Linked DNA regions of Rhinolophus ferrumequinum. The protein of the gene in region 1 interacts with the protein of each later gene in a biochemical or structural test. Links are inferred from orthologs where the notes say so. Each region holds a gene or a part of one and is shown on either strand. Other genes may lie near its edges.

Region 1 (10,881 bases):
TATGGATGGTGCTTCTCAGATTACAAAGGGCTTTTGTGCTTTGTTTTATCATCTACAATCCTGAGAACCCTGAGAGCCAGGTGGTAGGTGGCATTAGTGGCATTATTAGTGTCTCCATCTTACCGATGGAGATACTGAGGCTCAAGGAGGTGACACTGAGGCTGGAAGGTGCACAGCAGGGGTTGGAGCACAAGCCTAGGCTCCAGATCTTAAGAGAGAGATTCCCAAACCGACAGGAAAGAATGGCACCCTCGGGACTGGGTCATCCCAGGCCCCACGATGCTGTGATGGTTTCCAGCTGGCAGCGGCTGAACCCCCAGCAAGGGAGGGGAGGTCAGGGGGCACCCTGGGGCCCCTTGGGTGCAACGGGCACTTTTCAGGCAGGGGATGGTGTCTTCCACCATGTCATTGCCTCCTGCTCAGGGTCCCCGCTTGGGGCTGAGACCCGGGACCTGCCCTGCCTTGGGTCCCTTCCTCAGCCATGTGCGCCAGTGCTCGCCCGTGTGGGCTCTGTGAGGGACGGGACCCTCCGCCTCCATTTCTGACTGTTTCCTTTTCACCCCGCGCCTGTTATTCTCTGTGTTTCAGGCTCAGTGGCAGTCTCAGTCTCCATTTCCATCTGTTTGTGCCCCTTCTGCTTCTCTTCCTCTCCCCTCTCCTGCCCTCCACTTCGGGCTGTCGCATGTTGGATTGGTGGCCTTCAGAAATGTCAGGTTTCAGTGCCCGCTGGCATGTGGGGTACTGAGCACTTGGAGGAGTGGGGGACGGTTGTCAAAGCGGCCCGTCCCCACTCCATGGACGGTGTTTATCACAGTGACCCTGGACTGTGTGTTTGCTTCGAGAGTGTCTCCATCAACATCTGAGGGTAGAGTCAGCGGCCGTGAGCGCCTCTTTCCGGGGAGGACACCAGGCCCCCCAGTGAGCTCATGGCGTCCCAGTTCTGGGCCGTTTGCATGGCTCCGGGCGTTGATGTATCTTGTTCTGGTTGTCCTGGGACAGTCACGCCCAGTGAGGTCAGGGACTTGGGGTGATGTCGATGTCACACCCTCCACCCAGGATGGTCTCCAGAGGTTTGGAGGCTTTGTTTCCCGCCTCCTGACCACTTCTGGGCTCTGCGTCCTGCCTGTGGGGATCCTCTCCTTCCTTGGAGGAAGAGGAGGCCCCTGGCGGTTCCCAGAAACCCGGCAGCAGAGGAGGTGGGGCTAAGCCAGGTCCACCTGCTGTCCCAGGAGCTCCCACACTGGGCCCAGGTGCGTCACCTCCTGCCAAGGTGTGTGCGCACCCGCCCACAGAGGGTTGCCCAGGACTCAGGCAGGCCAGGAATGGTGACGTTGGTGTGGGGAAATGACCGCGGAGCCTGGCCAGGCCACACCCTCTGCCTGTCCTCCCTGGGCTTCTAAATATAGACGACAAAAGGCAGACAGACGGGGTGACCTCACCTGCTCAGAAAGAGGTGAAAGGTTTCCCCCAAGGCCTGACCCGAGTCTAGGTATCTGGCTGCTGGTCCTCACTGGGCCGCCAGCTCCCTCCGTGGGCTTTGGCCAAGCCCAGGTGGGAGGTGATGACCAAGGCCTGTGGTCACCCAGACATTGCCCGGAGCCCAGTTCTCTGTCCGAGCCACTTGTGTGCCTGGTAGACGTCCCCAGAGCTGCACCGTGGGCCCAAACCCCATTCCCTGGGACTCACCTGTGATGTACCAGGCCAAGGGGTGGGTGGGAGGTGGGAAGCATGGGCCAGGCAGAGGGGGCAGTGGGTGGAGGCCCGGGGGCGCCGCTACAGGTCAGTGTGAGCCCGGCTGGGCAGAGATGTGAGCTGGGCCTTCACCACGCATTTGCTCTTCTGCCTGAGGACAGTGCAGGGGGTGGGGGTGACAGGGAGGACTTTGAAGGGTCAAGACCTCTCTGGCTGTCTTGTGTCGGGGGGACCCCTGGTGGGATGAAAGTGGGAAGGAAAAGGGGCCCCAGAGGTTTGGCCTGAGCACACTAAGCCAGGAAGTGGTGGAAGGCCCAGTGGGAACTGTGGCAGACCCAGACAGGCCCTGGCTGGAGGGGACAGCTGCCAGTCAGCTCCTGCCCAGCCTCCTGCTGCGCGTGGGAATGCAGACCTTGTGTGGCCAGGTAGTCCAAAGTGACAAGAGCAGCCAGAAATGTGGATTTTATATGAAATCACCTGACCTTCTACTGTTGACTCAAAAATTGAAAAACACTGTGCTTGCCAAACAAAACACGTGTGGGCTGGATTTGGCCTGGGTCTCGTCCCTGGATGTCAGTTCACAGCCGGTCGTTTAAGCATCCTGTGTTACGAGTATCCCGACGGCCGGTGGGTCTTTACAGCACCGCCGTGTTCTCGGGGCTTCTTGTAACTCCCCAAGGAAGGGCTGGTGCACTCCACAGGGAAACGTTGGGAACCTGGGACAGTTGGGGGCAGGGTGTACTGTGAGCAGGATGAGGAGGAAAGGAGTGACACCAGTTAATAATGACCCCACACATCCTGTGGTGCTTTGTGCCCTCTGTTCCTCCCAGCAGACCCTCCAAGGGCAAACGTTGTCACAGCCTTGATCTTCAGACCCGCCCAAGGTCACTGGGGCTGTCTCCAGCACCATCTGAGCTGCGTGACTCGGTTTCCCAGCTGCCCACTGCCTCAGCCCCCACAGTGAAGCCCCCTGCCCCCTTGGTTGTAAGGATGCCGTGAGCGCCCACGCATGGGGCAAGGAACACGGGAAACGGTGAAGCGGGCCGGGTGTCAGTGCCATGGTCTGGGCTCACAGGCTGTTGCCCTCCCTCCTTGGCTGCTGGGAGCCTCAGAGGCTTCCGAGCGTGAGTCTCCAACTGTGTCCTTTTTCTTTTTTAACTTCTATTATGGAAAATTCCAAAGAGGCACACAAGTGGAGAAAATGGCAGGAGCCCCCCGCCCTGGCCCAGCTTGCTGTTCACATTGTGGGGCCACCTTATTTCTTCTCTAACTGCCCCGTGTCCTACTCTTCCTGCTCAGCGGGCGATGTTCACACAAATCCCTTCATTCCATCCATAAATATTCCAGTACGTTACTCTAAGAGTAACCTAAATCCCCATGATCGCACCCCAAAAATGATGTCAAGTATTGTCCAATATCCAGCAGGGTTGAAATAATCCCAGTTTTCCCTGAGGTTTTTTTTTTTAACAGTTGCCCTGCTCAAATCACAGTACAAAATCCACAGGTTGTATTTGATTGATGTCTCTTTTAATCTATAGTTTCCGCTTTATTTTTTGCTCCTGACGACCCTGGGTTTCTTCAGTTTGTCCTGGAGAGTCCCACGGTCTGGAATTTGTGGACTATATCCTCATGGTGTATTGATGTGTTCCTCTGTTCCCCGTAATTCCCCCAAATGTGGAGGCCTGGTTGGATTCATGTTTGGTCTGGGGCAAAATCACTGCATGTGTGGCTCTGTGTTCTTCCATCAGGTGGCAGGCACACACTGTCCTGGTCCCCTCTCTTTTGGACTAGCCCTGCCTGCCCTTGGTAAGGGATCTACCCCACAGCTTTGGGGGGTGGGGTGATGAGGGGAGGTGTGTGAGGGCTTGGGAGGGCCTTGCACGCAGAAGGCACCCCGTGAATCGCAGCCCCCGTTACTAACAGTGTGGGGCAGTCTGCCTGCCTGGGGGCGGTGGGCATCTGTGTGAGGTGCTTTACCTGTGCTGTCTCTGTAGTTATGCCCCCTTTACATAGGTGTATACTGTGCCTTGGAGGCGAGGTGACCTGCTGGGGGAATAGGGGTCACCCAGTAAGAAAGGGGTGGAGCTGGGTTTCAAACCCAGGCCTTTCAGTGCCTGAACCTGTCCTCTATGCCACACTGCTACCCTGGGAACTAGGGGTGTGTGTGTGTGTGTGTGTGTGTGTGTGTGTGTGCACATGTGAACCCAGATAAGCAGTGAGCAGGCTTACCAGGACCCCAGAGGGGAGCCCCAAAGCCAGAGTGAACAAAGCAGGGAGAGAGATTTTATAAAAACAGGCATTAACCTGAGGTTAGTGATTAAGTAAAGGAGACACCGCCATGCCCTCCATGACCTCCAGGTGGCCTCCAGATGGGAGGCAGCCCCGCTGGTTGTGTTGGGGTGTGGAACTGCCCACTGCTCACTCTCCAGCTGACCTGAGCCCCCCAACCCTGGTACCCTGGACCTTCAAGGCCAGAGAGGTGGTGACGTTGGGAGTGCTCCCTGTGCACTCTCGACTTGCTTGGCCTCCAGGGGCCCTTTTCCTGGCTGTAAAATGGGCCTGAGCTTGCTTTCCAGGCCCCTCCCTGGGAGAAAGAGATAAAGAAGGCAGAAAAGAGATAAAGTGAGCTACCCGCAGGTACTGGATTTACTTGGCAAATTCTCCCAGGAGGATTGGGAGAAGCTTTTAGCCAGAGGGCAGTGTCCTGTGTCCAGGTCACCCCTTGGTTGATCTTTGGGGAGTCCTTTTAAATGTGCCTCACCTACCTTACTCTCCCCGGGGGAAGGTCACAGAAGGTCCTTAAACGGCCTCCTAGGGATCCCCAAACCCAACCTACCCATCTTACTTTAAAAAAGCAACCAACCCCCACCCCCAGCATTTATGTGTGTGATTATAACTATTTTTGAAATAATAGAAAATTCAGAGAAGTGAAAAACACTGTATGGCAGCACCCAGAAAGAACCACGATGACTTTTGCAGAGTGGGTCCCCGTCATGCGCACGTGTGTAATGTCTAGTTCTGAAAGCGTATTCTGCATCTTGCTGTCTCACGTCGCAGTACAGCAGAAACACTTCCGGCATCACGGTTGGTCCAAGGTGTGCAGTGGCACCGAGGGGCCTGTCAGGACAAGGCATTTGAGTGGATTCGGTTGGGAACAGTTGTCATTGAGGTTTCCACAAACATCCTCATATAGAAATCCATGTCCACACCTCTGATTGTCACCTGAGGGTGAATTCCTAAGAGTGGGATTCTCAAGTTAAAGGGCATAAGCATTTTTAATGTCCTTAAAAGAAAACGGTAGAAATTGTTTTCCACCGCCCGCCGGTCCCCCTCCCCTACCCCGGGCCCTCCAGCTGCCCACGTGGGCCAGAGCTTGCCAGGGCTCCATGTCCCTGGATATCGGAGGTTTGGCACATGGTGGGTCCGTTCCGTAAGATATGTTTATGGAATGTGTAGTGTGGTCCTGCCCTCTCATCTTACAGGTGGGGAACAGGCCCAATGATATGGCACCAGTTCTGGGGCTGGCGGTGGCATTGCTAGGGCTGCTGACAGTAATCACCAGCCTCTGTGAGCGCTTCCTCCCCAGCCCTCAGCAGCCTCACTGGCACCCTCACCGGTGCCCTGAGACCTTGAGTGCTCAAGCCAGCGGTCCCCCCAACCAGGACAGTGGCAGGTGCTCCAGCTGGCATTTGCCTTCTTGATCCCTTACTCTTGAATGTCTATAGGCCCCAACCCCTATATGACTGGTCTCGGTTTTGCCCTCACCTCCCTGGCTGTAGGGCAGAAAGGAGATAGTACAGGCAAAGGCCCGTCCCCACACCACACACACCCCAACACTCAGGCCTTCCAAATGCACACGTGCACCGAAGTCACTGTTCCAGGACTCAGGAGAGTGTAGCAAGGCACAGGCACCAGCCGAGTGCTACACATCAGTAACCCAATGTGGCCCTCTCGGATGAAGAAACTGAGGCTCAGAGAGGTTAAGCAACTTGTACAACGCCACAGTGCTAGGGAGGGGCTTACCTGGAATTCGTGGGAGGTTGATCTGACTCCAGGGCCACCTGACCACACGTACACAAGTCACATACACAACACATACGCTGCCCCAGCGCACGCACCCACACAAGGTGCATAACCGCGGTACCCATAGTCCCCCCCCCCCCCCCCACACACACACACACACCACACACCACACACCACACACACCACACACGCTCTATAGGACACAGCCAGCAGGCTCGCGGGGGCGCCCACGCTCCCACAACACGCCCCCGGCATCTCCGGCCCCACCCCTTCACGCCGCCGGCCCCGCCTCCGAGGCGCCGGCCCCGCCCCCGGCCTGACCTCAGCGGGGCCGGGCGGCGGGCGCAGAGCGCAGGCAGCGCCGAGCCGCGCGGGCCTCTGCTGCCCGCGCCGCCTCGGGTCCCGCGGCCCGGCCGGCCGCCGGCGCCGCTGCGAGCCGTCCATGGTGCAGCGTATGTGGGCCGAGGCGGCCGGGCCTGCGGGCGGCGCCGAGCCGCTGTTTCCGGGCTCCCGGCGGAGCCGCAGCGTGTGGGACGCCGTGCGCCTGGAGGTGGGCGGCCCCGCCAGCTGCCCGGTGGTGCTGCACAGCTTCACGCAGCTCGACCCCGACTTGCCCCGCCTGGAGGTGAGTGAGCCAGGTCGGCCTGACCCCGCGGCCCAGCGTCCTGATCGTTTGGGGGGAGGGTCCTTCCGCAGAAATCCCCCTCGCTGTAACCTTACGGCAGCAGGTGGGCGTGGGGGCCGCCGGCACAGCGGGTGCAACAATGTAGGGACCAGAACCGGGTCTTTGTGACCCTATTTATCCGTCCCAATGCCTACCCTCACCGATCCCAGGTGTGCTGGCCTCGTGCCCCTGCAGCCCAGGTAGACCTGTTTCCGCGGGCTGTCACTGTCTGTTTAGGGCTGTGAACTTCCCGACATTAGGGGCTGGGCCATATTTCATCTCCATTGCCAGTCCCAGCCTGCACGGGCAGTTAGGCTTCGCAATCAGGTGGCGAACTGGTAGGGTGGCAGAGTCCTAGAATCCTCAGAGGGCTGGGGACCACAGTGGCCTTCCAGACGGCTCCACTTTGGGGTCAGACTCGGACTGGATGTTCAGGGCTGTTCAGAGGAGGTGGGTTGGAGGCGGAGCAGGCCTCCAACCTGTGGGGCCAGGTGTCCAGGCTGGAAGGTTGGGACAAGGCCCTCTCATGTCTGGATGGGGTGACTGACTCATTTCTGCTTGATTAGAAAATGAATTTGTAAGGATTTGGGAGGATTCAGAGAAGGGGGGATGTGTCTGTCACTAATGGAGGTGGGGGTAACTAGATGAGGGCTGGGACTCTTTCTAGTGTGCTCTGCACAGTGAAGCCCAGTGGGTCATGGGGGCAGGCAGGTGGGGCCGGGAGTGGTGCCTTCCTCCTCCTGCCTGACTGTGCACCTGACTTCAGAGGTAGCAGATGCAGGATGGACCCTGTCACCCTGCCCTGCCTGGGCATGGGGCCTGGACAGGCCAGCCCCGGGTTGGGGGCTCAGCAGGTCAAGGCCGAGCCAGAGCCTTAACAGTGAAGTTCCTGAGCCCCCGTGCTGGTTAGGGCCCCTTTGGTGTCCCCCCCCAGCCCTTCACTTTAGGCCCCCATGTGTTGTACTTGCCAGCAATTTTCAGCCTGGTTTTGTGCCTCTGCATGTCCCTAGGGCCTGGATGCATATTTGCCCAAGGATAAAGTGTGTCTCCCTGCCCAGCGTGGGGCCAAGGCAAGGGGTTGGAGGGCGCTCTTGGTGAGGGAACTGCAGGACTGGGAGACCCTTTTCTCCTGAGCTGGGCGGGTGGCCAAGCCCCGCGTGTTCCCGGACCCTCATCCACCCACTGCTCTGGCTTTCATTGGCAGCTGGAGCAGACCCCTGGGAGGCCTGACACCAGCCTAGTACTCATCTGACTTTCATTATGTCTGGCAGCCAGTCGGGCTTTGTGTGTTGGGAGGGTCCGGCCTACACGCTCACAGGGGCCGGGCAGGTTCCTGGCCAGGGTGGGGTGAGCTGTTTGGCTCACTTCTCTCCCTCCCCCCCACCTCTCTGTCCATCTGTCCATCCCTGGGGACCTGAGGGAGAGCCCTACCCTTGCCCAGGGGTCGCCTTCTCTCTCCTTCCCCTCCCCCCGCACCCTCCTGCTGCTCTCCCTCACCCGGCCTCTGCACTAGATCCAGGCCATGGCCACTGTTTAGAAATCAAAGGGGAAGCTTCTGGCTGGGGCAGGAAAATCAGGGTCCTGGCAGAAGAGGAGGCCAGTGCCGGAAATCAAACACAATGACCATTTACTATGGGCCGGGGGAGGAGGGCAGGGGGGCGGGGAAGTCCCTGTCCCTCCTGCCAACACCTCCCCCACCCCCCCCACCCTCAATCCTGGGGCTGATTTCCTGGTCGCTGTAGCGTGCCAGAGCTGAAGCAGCTCTGCTTGTGGTCCCTGTCCTCTCTGGAAACCACCAGGCAGTTACTGCCTTCTCTCCCCTGTTCCCCATTTTCCTTCCAATCCTCTCTGGGCTGCCAGATGTCCTTGCACATCTGGGCATCCACTCCTGTCATCTTGATTCTAAGCCAAGCCACCACTAACCCAGCTTGGCCTGTGCAGTTCTGTGCTTTCTGGCGGTCACCTGGCCCATGCCCCCATCTCTAGACTGGCCACTGCCTTGACCAGGCAGTTCCCAAGTCTGTAGCACCTAATTTTGGACACCACCAAATAATTTGCGGACACCACCACCTCATTCCAACTGGCTTTGACCAACCCTCCAGAGTGGGTGCCAACCCCCTTTATAGGAGACTGGAGCTCCGAGAAGTGAAGTCTCTGATCTAAATGTATGCACAGCCAAGGACACAGGATTGGGAGGATTTGAACATGGGCTGTGTTCTCTGTTAGGCGCCTGCTGTGTGCAAGAGCCCACAGGAATCAGAGAAAGATCACTATTGGGGTAATTTTAGGTTCACCAGAGGACTGTGGAGCTCTGGGGGGCACAGAACCAGGCCCAGGCAGCCCAGAAGCCCCCGGTCAAGTGAGGGGTTGGGATGCTTATAGACCAGAGGAAGACAAAGTGCCTTGGGCTAGAGGACACTGGGGAGAGCTTCCAGGAAGAAGCAAGTCCACAGCTGGACCCCAGCGGTTTACAATAATAGCTCACATGAGCCAGCACTTTGTGGGAGGCCTTGTTCTAAGTAATTTGCATGCATTATGTCCTTTTGTGGTCAGGACTATCAATAGCCCATTTGACAGATAAAGCAACTGAGGCACGAGAGTTAATTAGATTGTATCACCTCACTAAGCTGGTAAGTGGCAGAGGTGGAATCCTGACCCAGACAGTGTGCCTGCAAGGCCTGAACGAAGAGGTGGATCGGAATGAGGAGGGCTTCTCTGTTCTTTGGGTGGAGAATCGCAGGGGAGTCTCCCTCCAGCCTCCCGCCTCCTTCCCGGTTGTCTGGTCTCTTGATCTTACTATGTGCAGGTCTTCAGTTTAACCCCCAGGGCTTTTGACCCTGGAGGACTGAGAGGCATGGCCTAAGGGTGTGTGTGTGTGTGTGTGTGTGTGTGTGTGTGTGTGTGTGTGTGTGTGTGTATTTGAGAAAGAAAGAGAGAGAGATTGAGAGAGAGAGAGAGAGGGCCGCGGGCTCCCCTCCTGTCTTGCTCCTCAGGGGCCCAGGAGAAGGGGTGGGCACCCAGCTGGCTGGTACTGAGTGGCAGACGCTTGAGCACGCTGTCTATTTCCTGTAGGCTCAGTGAAGGCGCTGGAGCAGGAGTGGGTGGCGGGGAGATGCGAGATTGCTTTGGGCAGGATGCGGGTCCCATCTCCAACCTGGAAGTTAGGTGTTTCCAAGCCCTGCCTTCAGTGCCGGTGAGGGAGGGGGATTGGTGTCGGCCGCCTCTGAGCAAGCCACTGGGGGCGGTTTCAGGAGGCTGCACCCAGGCCGTTGAGGTCTGGCTCCCAGGGGCTGCTGGCTGGCCGCCCAGACGGCTCCCATGGCGTGGCACCATGCTGTGGCTACTCTGTCCCAGGCTCAGGCCTCCAAGGCCTTGCCAGCCAGGAAACACCGTGTTCCTGGACACACAGCTCCAGTGAAGCGACTCCCCAATCTGATTCTGAGGCTCTGGGAGTTGACACCTGCAGCCCAGAGCAGAAGGCCGGCCCGTGGCTGGGGAGTGAGCAGATAGCTGCCAGGTCGCCCGCAGGGTGAGCTGGGTGGGAGCACCCAGCGTGAGGGCCTGAGTTTGGGGAGCACTGGGTGTGGTGTTGCTTTGCTGTTTTTCTCTCCTCCCCGGTTAAGTGTCAGATGCTTACACAACCTGCTCTGTAGTCTCGCCTAGAGGCGTAATGTTGTTCTTTTGAACCGAGGGGCAGAGTCAAGTATGCTGGTCAGAGCTTGGGCTCTGGGGTGCCGACAGCTGTGCTGGACTGCCAGCTCGGCCCTTGCAATCCTAGACCTGCCCCTGCTTCCTGAGCCTCGTTTTCCTCTTCCGTAAAATGGGCCTGATGCTAGTTCCTCCACTTAGGGTTCTGGTGAGGACGGAGTGAGACAGGTGGCCGGAGAAGCAGTCCCTATAATGCCTTGCACAGCGTTAGCCGGACAGGCGGTGGCTGCCACAATTGTGTTTTCTGACAAGGTGCCAGGGGAGTGCCCGTGTCCTGGGCTCCCAGTCAGCGTGCCGCTTCCCAGGTCTGGTTCTTATAGCTGATCTCGGGGCCCATGGGTGCCCTGGCCATCCCCTCTCAGTAGAGCGGTGCAGGTACAAGGGAGCTGGGCCTGCCACCCCCGACTGGCGGTGCGACCTGAAGAAGGCCTTCCCATCTCTGGTCTCTTTCCTGCATCTGTGTGACCAGGGGCTGGACTCTGTTCTGAGGCTGTGACCGTGGCAGGCACTGTGCTGCGAGGCCCAGAGTGTCTCCATAGGTCATGAGAGTCACAGGCCAGGGTTCTAGTCCCTGCCCCAGCTGCCACTTCCTGGCTCGACCTGGGCGAGATCCCCACCCGGCTCTTTCCTCATCCATCAAGTGAGATGTTGGGAGGATTAACTGTGATGAGTGTGCCAAGGGCCTGGCATCCAGGAAGTGCCCACACGTGCTGGACACTGTGGTCTGTGGTGTTGCTCTTGGGGCTGGACCTTCAGCTGGCCCCACCCTGCACCCCCCCAGGGACCAGGCCGTC
Region 2 (11,256 bases), on another chromosome or scaffold:
CTATATCAGCATCTTCATATCACATATTTATATAGTTGCTCCCAAATATTTTTCAAAATTTTATTAAAAAACAAAAAGCTTCTTGGCTATGTGGAAAAGGGCTTTGGGAAGGGTAAAGCACTGTAAATATTACTTGCATTATTATTCATAATATCAAGATATGTTTATATGCCTACTGTAGCTTAATTTTTCAAAACTATTCTTATATTTGTACAGAAAATAGCATTAGAAAAACTACTACAACCACATTTGGCCAGAAACCACAAAATGTCTGACAAATTTCTGATTTTTATTACAAGTATTTATTATCATTGCTATACTATTATATTTGGCACATCTGTTTTATTTCCAAAATGTGTCACTAATCTGTAACTTATTATTCCTTATAGCTTTTTTACTGAAAATATTTTTCTATGGCAAGGTTTAAAAAGGTATTCTAGGGAAAACATTTTAAATTACATATTTACCAAAAAGATTACCTTTACATATTACTGGTCTATTGAAATTTTTCTTTTCAATCAAATTCTATTCATTCTTACATAACATATGTCAAAAATAGCAACCATAAGCAAAAAATTTGTTCCTGCCTGTCTCCTTTTTTGCTTCTCTTCATTTTTCTTCCAACTTCTGTTTATGAAAGTTTGAATCCCTCCTTCTTGAGGTCCTCAAGCCCGTAATTAATTCTATGACAATTCTCACATGATGCCCAGATTACAAATTATTCATTATTTTGAATAATGCCTTAATTTCAAATGTACCCTTGAACTCTACTTTTTCTTCTCTATTATTTTCCCAAGATTGTTATACCTTTTATAATCTTTCTTTGAGACTTTCAGTTTCTGATTATTTCCCTCATTGTTCTTTTTTCCATAGAATGTCATTGCTACAAGGAATTAAAGAATGAAGTGATTTTGCATTTCCCTTATTTCACTCTTACTTCATTCCTACCTTCTTCCTTTGCTCATTTGGTTCTTTATATCTGGAGTGCTCCCATCTGCCCCATTAAGTCTATTCTTTGGCCACTTCTTTCAAAACATGGCTTCACATTAATTTCCTTCAGACAGTTTTCCTTCACTAAAGCCACTCCCATTTACTCCCTGTATCTCTTGACCTCTAGGAATTCATGTATAAACTATACATGATATTATAACGTACTTGGTAAGTTTTTGTAATTTTATTGTTATTTAGTTATATATTTTGTAATATTTTATTTATATTTTTATCATACACCCTTGTAAGCTCTGATTTTTCCTTATTAGCAGTAATTATACCTGTTATTACATAATATAAATGTGTAATCAATTGCCTAATGTCTGCCTCTTATATTTATATTATCTATATCTCCTGTTAGAATGCAAGCACTTTTGGCAAGCCCTATTTTGTTGTATCCTCAGAGCCTACAATAACATACATAGTAAGTGTTCAATAAATATTATGTCTTTGAAATACCACTCAGGATATTAGTAGAATGAAAGCGCTCACAAATGCTTGCTGATTTTTTAAACACCATTTTGTCTTAAATCTCTCACACTTTTTGTAACAGTGGGAGGTGTCTAACTGCAAAATGCAAAAAAACCTAATGGACTTAAACTAATGGGCTTAAATCAAAAGACACTAGCTATTTACTTAGCCATAGTCCAAAGGTGGGCATTTCTAGTATTGATTTGACAGTTCAATATTGTCAGCCAAGATCTAGGTGCTTCCCATCCTTCTCCTTAACCATCCAAAGCTTGTTTGTTTTCAACCTCAGCCATAAGGCTTTACAGCCCAAAGATGGTAGCCACATTCTCATTATTTCAAAGTACAAAGCAGAAAGCAAGGCAGGTAACGTCAAAAAACGGAGACAGCTACTCACTCTTGTCAGAATCCCAGAAATCCCCGATCCCCAGCTGCCTTCTTCCCCTTCCAATGGCAAGAATTGAGTCATATACCTACTTTTGGACTAACCATGGACAGAGGTGAAGCACTGCCATTAACGATCTATCTTGATTCATCAGAGTTTTCTTTTTTTTCTTTTTTGGCAAAAAGAAAGGGAAATTAAATTGCTGGATATGCAAGCAACATTGTGTCTGCTCTTCTGCTATGTTAAATGAACCACACTAAAGCTCCAGTTTCCTCAGAACCTTTGAGTCCGTAAGAGTCTCCTGGCCTTTTCTCTCTTAATATTTTAATCATTAAACCTTTTCCTTCAGAAATTTTTTTCTGCTTAAAATCGCCCACTGAAACATTTCTCAGCTAAAGGGTTCTTTCATTCACTTGTTTACATACTCACTTAATTTCTGTTTTCTAATTCTTTTTCTTTGCAAAAGTGCTGGGATGTATCATATTTTCAAAATGGAAGCACATTTATTTTGGCCCTTGCTTTCCACTCTTCATGTATACTTGGGTTTCTGGACTGTATTAGGAACCTCAGAGGCCAAGAAAATGTCTCCTGCTCTCTTTATAATTGCCAACATCATTTCATAGGTGCTAAATGTACTTGATTGTCCTTCCTCTTTACAGTTAATCAGAGATATATAGGCTTTAATAGGAAGCAATAGGAATCACAATCTTATAGCCAAGCATCACTGGTCATATTACAAACATCCTTTACTAATTTGTTTATATTAAATTCTTTGCATACTTGCTTCTTGCTGTCATCAGAACATCCCAGAACATGGTATATTTCATTCCACCTTTACCAACATCTTTCACAGAAGCAAAGAAAGGAGCTGGGTTTCCATGGTAACACAAGTGTGACAGTTGAGGGTATCTGGGCATAAGTGAGATAACTCTCAGATTCACTGGGGAGAAGAGAAATCAAGTTTTTCTTTCTTTCTTTTTTATCTCCCAGCAATGCACTTCTGAAGCTAAAGAGACCCTGAAGTGTCAGTGTACAGGGCCAAGTTTTCACTATCATACAGATTTACAGCTCTTAGGAAAAATTCTATTTCACTTTATCTCATTTTTATTTTGTCTTTCTCATAAACAAACGAATGGAGACATAGTTTTTTATCCCTAAAATCACTGTCAGAATAGATAGTTCATGCTGGGAATGAGTAAGAGATCAGGAGACCCAGCTTCCACCCAAATCTTCAAAATTCTCTACACATCCTGATATCCTTTCTTACAGCAGCTAATCCTTCAAACAGCATTTCACATACAGCCTCAAATCAAGTACCACCATCCACAACATGTGAGAAATATGCTCCTACGCATGTTTCTTTTCCCTCTTCATGATTAAAAATCTTCTTTTATGGCAGCATTGAGAATGAAAATCGAGGCCTGTCAATAAGAGACATATAAATGAGGTGTAATTACCCCAAGACCTAGTCTCTACAGTTCTCACCAAGAAAGTCAGCATTGATGAAAGATCTAGGAAAATAGCCTCAGAAATGCCAAAAAGCCCTCTCATTCTCTATTTGCTAAGTAGAGTGACCAGGGAGCCAAATCACTATTGTGTGTGTGTGTGTGTGTGTGTGTGTGCGCGCGCGCGCGCGCGATAACTTCTATCAAATACACTCCATCCAGAGCTTCTCAACTTCTAGAGTCTTACAAAATGAAAACAGTTGCTTGAGGTTACATTCTGGACCCACAATCCCAGTGCAAAGTTCTATTTTAAAAAAAAATTCAATGGACCTTTATTCCCTGCAAAGTGTATGATTTTTCAGCTCCACTTAATGCAAGGTACTACACAGGTGGTAATGGTCTATACAAAGAGAAAGTCTGATGCTTCTTGGCTCTACTGATCCCCCCAACAAGCTAGGAAGTTCTTACCACCACAACACACAATTTGGATCTTAAAAGAGACAGTCTGTCTTTCCTCTGAAAGAAGCGTAGCTGTTACTAAGAGAAAGTAACCACAAATAAGGGTACAAGTTTTATACAAAATGTGAGGCTTCTAAAAAGCTAGGTGAACACTCTGTTCATCTACAACATTCTCTTGAAACATCCCTGCCAAAAAAGCTCAGATATGAAGTTTCACTTATCGATATTTCACTTATCATATCTATGTGAGTTCTCTTCATTTTAATTCATTTATTTACATTACTAGTTTAGAATGAGATATCAGATCCTCTTTGGTTTCAATTGTCTTAAAACATTCCTCTGATTGTTAGTTCTTTTGCAAATTGCCTTCACTGCTAATTCTGGTAGCTTAGATACCTCTCCTTTTTTGATGATATGTAACCAAGAAATAATGATTGAATAATATTTTACTGCATATTTTGACAGGACACTTGCCCTCCATTGTTTAAAAACAAACTTGGTATGTGTTATACTATAGCAAGGTAATGAAAATGTAAGTAATCCGTTCTAACATAATGGAGCAACAAAGCTGTAGGACACTGCTAAATCTGAGTACGTCTTTGTAGTAGTCTGATAATTGACAGAAAAGATGGTAAAAGAACACCTGGTTTTTCAAGGATCTCAGACCAAAATCCTCTCTACATGATGATCTTCTGGAGCAGAGAAAGGGTAAAGAGGTATGCCATCATCAAACATTAGAACTACAGAAATTTATTATTCCCAAGAAATGTGAGATGGTAATGAATGGATGTAGAATAGTTCAAGAACGACATAGTTTAAGGAACATAAATCCAATAACCAGTTATTACAAAATATCCAGAAACGTTTGGGGATATAACCCCTCCTAAATTTGACGTTATGGGTGGGAGAGACTGTGTAACTAAGATAATGCTAAAGAGTTAACAGAACGATAAAGTTTTAAAACTCAGCTGTTAAAAATGTTTAAAGAGGCACGCACGGAGGACCCGTGCAACTGCTGCAGTATTTAGGAACCGGGAAATGTCTCACCTAAAGACAAAAGTCTCTGTTTTCTCGATTCATCCCATGTATCCCTCAGCACTATTTGTATGCCCATCATCTAGGCAGAATGCCACGGGGACAAAAGTTAAAACCGGAATTCATCACTTTTGTCTGAAACACATCTTGTTCCCTTGCCTGAATAAGGCTCAGCGACCGGCCCCTCAATCTCTGACCCCTCCCAAACCCCACCAGCTCGGCTCCTGCTTCCATACTACCTGCCCTTGGTGGCAAGGACATCGCGAATTCTGGTTGGCTCAGTTCAAGCCTTCGTCATTCTTCAGCTCACCTACGATTGGTTGGCAGAGTGTGCGCAGGAGCAAACGCCCAGCTGGCCCAGGCAGTGGGAGGTGTGTTGGCTTATCCTGCGACTAGAGTTTTTCCCCATTGGCTGGTGGATGGGTGTCACGTGGTTATGAAGGGGCTCTCTTTGGTCGAGAATGGTACCATCGGGTCCAGAGACATGGTCTGGTTGGCTGGAATGAATCCCAGCTCCCTACTAGGTCCCCCAGCGGGCTGTTGCTATGACCTCTCCCCCGGCCCTCTGCTGCGGTTCGGGACTCCGCGCTCCCGGTTTTCCAAGTACCCATAGCAGACAGGGCGTGGGAAGAGCTCCACTACAGTCTGGCACTAAAGACGGGCGGGGGTGGAGGGAAGGTGGGCGGGACTCCTGGCGACGTCACCGGGTTGGGTCCGGCTTCCACAGTCTCTGGCCTTCACCGCCTCGAGCAGTGGGCTGCAGAGGCCTGTCACCTCTCACTCAGTGTCCTGATACTGAAAACTAAGCTTCATTTGGTTGTGTTTATGCTCGGACCCTTAAGCAAAGCTTCTCGTTCTGTGTATACAAGATAAAACCAAAGCTCTCAGGAATGTTGACAGCCTGGGTGGTGTCGGGCAAGACCCTCATGTCAAGGCCTCTTCTTGGACCTTGGCCGTCTCTTTTTCTGACTCCTCACTCCAGAGATTGCTGCAGATCGTTCTGCTCCTTTTAACATCTTGTCTCTGCCAAATTCTGAGCGTGGGATTCTCAGGTTGATGCGGTTCCCGTCTCAGGCGGAAAAACTGCGCATGCTCAGATGCAGTGACTGGGGTTCGACGGAGAGTGCGGGGTGGGGTGGCGTTGGGTGGCCAAGGTGGTTGTTTATCCAAGCCGGGGCAGAGGCTTCCGCGCTGCGCAGAGCCTCCCGGGAGCGCGCGAGACTGGTCGCCTAGGCGACTGGGGAACAGGGGCGGGGCTGCGCCCCGGGGCCCCGCCCCGGGTCGCCGGGCCCCGCCCCCGACAGCGCTGCGGCTCAAACGCCGGCTGGGGTGCGCGCTACGGCGCCGGAGAAAGCGGCGGCGGCGGCGGCCGCAGGAGGGAAGCTGGGCGTGGAGGCGTGAGGGGCGGGGCTGGCGGGCAGCACTGCGGGCCCGCGGCTCGGGCGGCTCGGGCGGCTCCGGCGGCTTCCATTCGCTGCTCGTCCTTAGTTCCTGCCGGCACCCGCGGGGCCGCATTGCCGCCGGGATCGGTCCATGTCTTGGGCCGCTGCTCCCTCCGCCGGCGCCCGGGGGGCCGCGACGGCTGTGAGGTGGGGGCGGCCGCGGAAGGCAGCGGTGCCGGCCGCCGGGGCAGGGTCCGAGAGCTCTGCGCGGCGGGCGTAGGTCTATGTCGCGGGCGGCGGTGGCGGCGGCGGCCGCGGAGGGACGATGCGCGAGTACAAAGTGGTGGTGCTGGGCTCGGGCGGGGTCGGCAAATCCGCCCTGACCGTGCAGTTCGTGACCGGCACCTTCATCGAGAAATACGACCCCACCATCGAGGACTTCTACCGCAAGGAAATCGAGGTGGACTCGTCGCCGTCGGTGCTGGAGATCCTGGACACTGCGGGTACCGAGCAGTTCGCGTCCATGCGGGACCTGTACATCAAGAACGGCCAGGGCTTCATCCTCGTCTACAGCCTCGTCAACCAGCAGAGCTTCCAGGACATCAAGCCCATGCGGGACCAGATCATCCGAGTGAAGCGGTGAGAGGGCCGGGGGCGCGGGCAGCGGGGTTCGCGGTTTAGCCGGCAGCCACCGTCCCGGGGCCAGATCTCCCTCCCCGTGCTCTGGGGTGGCCGTGGACAGGGGGAGCTATCTAGGGACTTGGCTTTGGGGTCTTATGCTTTATAATAATTTTTCTTTTTGCCAGCATCACCATCATCATCATCTTGAATCTCAAATTTTAGTGCTTTGTGTCACAACTCAAATTTGGCATCCCGTGGACCACAGCACAGCGCTTTTGTCTCTTGGATATTATTAGTAGCGCTTGTGGCAGAGCCTCGAAGGAAACAAAGTTTAAAACTTGGAGGCAGGGTGAGGAGTGGGTAGGCTTGGGTTAGGGAGAGGGTGGCTGTGCCTGTATAGTGGAGACATTTTCAGACTCAACAACAACAACAGAAATTTGTCTTTACAATATTTGACAGCAAAAATCGCTCACACATGTACCTACTGTAAAAATGTCAAATCGAGAGGAAAGAGACTTTTCTCATCTCATGAAAGATTGAATGGTGCCAAGGCGTTTTAGAAAAATGAACTCTGCAATTAAGATGAAACTTTAAAGACAGATTATCGAATTATTTGAAGACATCATAACAACTTAGTGGGGCTGAGAGAATATTAGCATATAGGGGTACAAATATGCCATTCACATTAAAGAATGCGGTTTAACTTTTTCTTTGGAAAGAAAAAATAGGCATTCTTGCAAACAAAACAAGTTTCTTCAAAGCTATAACTTAAGTATATTATCAGATGTAAAGTTAATGCATGATAAGCTCTTTTCTAATATAAACTCTCTTCTAAAGTATACGTTTTGGAAATATGGCTGGTAGCTTAAATGGCTTAAAAATGTTTGTTTTCTCTTATGTTGAGTATTTTTCCATATTTCAAGCGTTACAAGTGTAACATATTATCTTACATCAAAGTTTTAGCAAATTTTTCTAATGACTATTTAATTACACATTACAGTTTTGTCTGGTTCTTATAATTAGTTAATAATTGCTAATAATTTTGATTAGTGTCATTTTCTTTCTCCAACATAATCCTACCTATGGCCCTAAATTGGAAGACATTTACAGAAATATAGTTGTAAGTGTATTTTAGACACAATCATGTTACATGTAGGTTTGAGACTACTCATTAAGAACAAGGACCAAGTCACGTGTACTCAGGGGGTACTCAAAAACGCATTACCTGAAGTGGATTTTTAATGAACATACGAGATCCAAGGGAGGTCCTTTCCCCATGGCTCCTCCTTAACTCATTGAATATGCACTGTAATAGCTAAACTAAAATTTTGTATATTATTTTTTCCATTAAGTTTCAAACTAGAATAAAGTGGGTATTTTCATGGCCTCTGTAGCTTTTCTAAGATCTGTGAATCTGGTAGCTTTTACTTCTCCAGCTTCATTTAATAATGCCTTTTATTTAAACCTACTGTATCTAAAAATATATAATCAACATTTAAAAATTATTGACGTATTTTACTTTTTCATACTAAATTTTCAAAATCTGGTGTGTAATTTACAGTTACAGCACATCCCAATTCAGACTAGCCATATTTTAAGTGCTCAGTAGCCACATGTGGCTGCAGGCCACCATATTGGACAGCAGATGTCTAAAGTGTATATATTTTGAGGAAATGCTTGTGTCTTTAAGCCTCAGTTTCCTTATCTGTGAAATAGAGTATAACATGCACCTCTTAGAGTCTTTTTTAGGATTAAGTGAGATCATGTATTCTAAGGTGCCCGACATAATACCTTGAACAAAGAAATTGCTCCAAAATTCCAGCTGTTGTTTTATTAATAATAACTTTGTTACCCTACCCTCTTTAAAATGATTCTTAATATAAATGTAATATTAGAGGAAATAAATTTGTGATTGCATTTTGAAATTCATTATCTAGTGTAGACAAGATGAGATTAAATAGCAATTAGGATTAAAACAATCATTGGAAAAATTTTGTTGGTGTTCTTAAAGTATTTTCCCTTAATAAGGATCTTATGGGAAAGGGCAGGAAAATGAATATTTAACTTCAAGTCTAGCACTAATGTATGGCCAAACAGTGAAACGGAGCTTTTCATTGGATTGTTATTGTATAGAATGTTTTGCTTTTAAAAAATATAAAACAGGCCCATACTCCCTTAAGTATTTACAGGTACACAGACATACACAACCTCTTGTCAAAGCTATGTGGGCAGGAAGATGGTTGTAAGTTGTAACTGAAAATGACTGTATTTATAAATTCATATGCTCAATTTTTTTAACTGGACTTTGAACAATATCACACAGGTAAGAGTAATAGGGATACAGAAAATGTTTCAAGTGAAATAAAACTAGTATTCTTCCTGATTTCATAATCTCTTCTCTCATTCCTCTCAGGGCAAGCCATGGTTCTGACTTGAAGTACCTTGCAATGTGCTAGTCAAGTTCTGTAGTTCTCAGGATAAAAGCCCAGCAATCTTCAACTTGACCTTCCCAGGAGAAGGTGCTCTTGTCCAACCTCCCTGCCTTGGTAACCTCACCTCTTGCAATCCTCTTCAATGTCTTAGATTCCAGCACCCAAATCTCTCAGTCTCTTGAAAGTGCCTCTCTCTGAGCTTCCCTTCTACCGGTGGAAATCATCTACCCTTCTTTAGAGTTAATTCCTACTCACTCTTTTGCCCTTGCTTGAAAGGCTTACTGCTCCGAGGAGCCTCCTCCCCAACTGAATTAGCTCCTCCCCAGCTTCCCACACTAATTAACTTCCCGCCACACCCCTTTTCTCAGCCACCTGTACTTCAGACTTAAGTGACACCCCGCTTCCCTCTTCAGATAGCACTCGTGAAAGCCTTATTATTTGTGTGATAATTTACATGCGGTTCGTCTTTCTCATTAAACTCTAATCCCATGTGACTAGAATAGTTCCTGGTATATAGGAAACAATCAAGGAAAATACGTTAAAAAGAACGAGTGTTCAGAAAGAAAAGTATTTTTATTGTCCTTTGGCTTCAGTTTCCCCAACCATTTTAATTTTCTAGATGGAAGAGATGATTCTTTAAACGACATTTTGCAGGTGGAGTAAATGATCTTCCTTCAGCTCCAACATTCTTTGAGAGTTCTTCTATCTAGTTGGGGCAGTGGGAAGAAGTAAAGTTTAGTATGAACCTTAAAAAGTTAGGAGCACATTGTCTTCCAGATGGAAGAAATGGCATGGAAATGCATAAGATATGTTTGTTAGCTGTTAAATAGACCAGATTGGCTAAACCAGGAATTTATATGAAGGGTGAAAGGAGGTAAGGCTAAAAAATGTAAAGTTAAATTATAGAAGGTTAAAGAGTTTGGACTTGATCTTAGTCAAGGACCATGATCAAAATTGTTAGAAATAGTAATGTGGTGATTCGGTTTAGTGGCAGTAGACCAGAGTCCGGAGGAATAGTTGTGAAATATTATGATAGTCTAGTTCTGTATAAAGATTCTGAATTAGCATGGTGTCTGTAGGGACAGAAAGGAAAGCATGGATGCAAATAATGTTATAAAGAATGAGTTAATCAAATCGAGTGGGAGGGAAAGGTCAAAAGTAACCTTGACATTTTGAACATGAGTGAATAGAGTTATGGAAGAATAGCTGGGGGAGATTGTTTTAGCTTTGGAGATGGTAACCATCCAGATCGATACACCTAATAAGTAATTAGAATATTTGAATAAAGCCTGAAACATCAGTTTATGTATAAATAATCTACATAGTTCAGATTTAGAGAGTTGATGGAATCTTTTCGGTAGAGTATAGAGGGATGGAGATGAATGGATATGGCCAGGAATAGAAATTAGAAATTAATATTGCCAAGGATAGAACTTGAGAGTTATACTCGTAAGATATATAGAGGCTTCATACTTTGCAATAGGCTAGAAAGCATGGGACTTTTTAAGACTAGGAAAAAGATTGTGGAAAGGGTTGTTGGTTTGCACTACCCAAAGTAAATAAGTTGCTATTTATTATTATTATAATTACTATTACTTTCATTACTATTACTAATATTTCTATATCATTTAAGTGATCACTTTCAAATGACCTAAATGACAATTTGTACTTTTTCTCCTTGTAATAAGTAGCCATATAAAAACCTCTAAAATAGAGGCAGGTTGCTAATTGCTACACATCAATCTTGACCCATAACATATTGGTGCTATGAGACAAAACCAGAGAACACATCAAGTGATGTCTCTCCCAAGTAAGTGAAACTTCTGGATTCTGCCGTGATTCCTTCCTCCACAAACACCTCCTTCCCCAATTTGACACCTCCGGGAACCAAAATTGTAATCAGAATCTGGGCCTCCAAGGCACAGCCTAATACCTAGCTATAAATCACTTTTTATATCCCAAAGTTTTTTTCTGAAAGGGAAACTTGTTTTTGCTGCATTGTAAAACTAGAAATTACAATATAGCTTTCTTTTTTGCCA

What was found.
Region 2: the proteins of RALGDS (region 1) and RAP2A form a complex in vitro, tested with the Homo sapiens proteins (2 studies listed by BioGRID). The link is inferred for Rhinolophus ferrumequinum from reciprocal best matches to the Homo sapiens genes RALGDS and RAP2A.

What each region holds. Positions count from the first base shown.
Region 1 is NC_046295.1:80,655,910-80,666,790, reverse strand, and holds the start of RALGDS (ral guanine nucleotide dissociation stimulator), read left to right. Parts: upstream 1-6,110; 5' UTR 6,111-6,157; coding exon 6,158-6,340; intron 6,341-10,881. UniProt on the Homo sapiens protein: Functions as a guanine nucleotide exchange factor (GEF) activating either RalA or RalB GTPases and plays an important role in intracellular transport. Interacts and acts as an effector molecule for R-Ras, H-Ras, K-Ras, and Rap.
Region 2 is NC_046287.1:43,435,869-43,447,124, forward strand, and holds the start of RAP2A (ras-related protein Rap-2a), read left to right. Parts: upstream 1-6,359; 5' UTR 6,360-6,489; coding exon 6,490-6,803; intron 6,804-11,256. UniProt on the Homo sapiens protein: Small GTP-binding protein which cycles between a GDP-bound inactive and a GTP-bound active form. In its active form interacts with and regulates several effectors including MAP4K4, MINK1 and TNIK.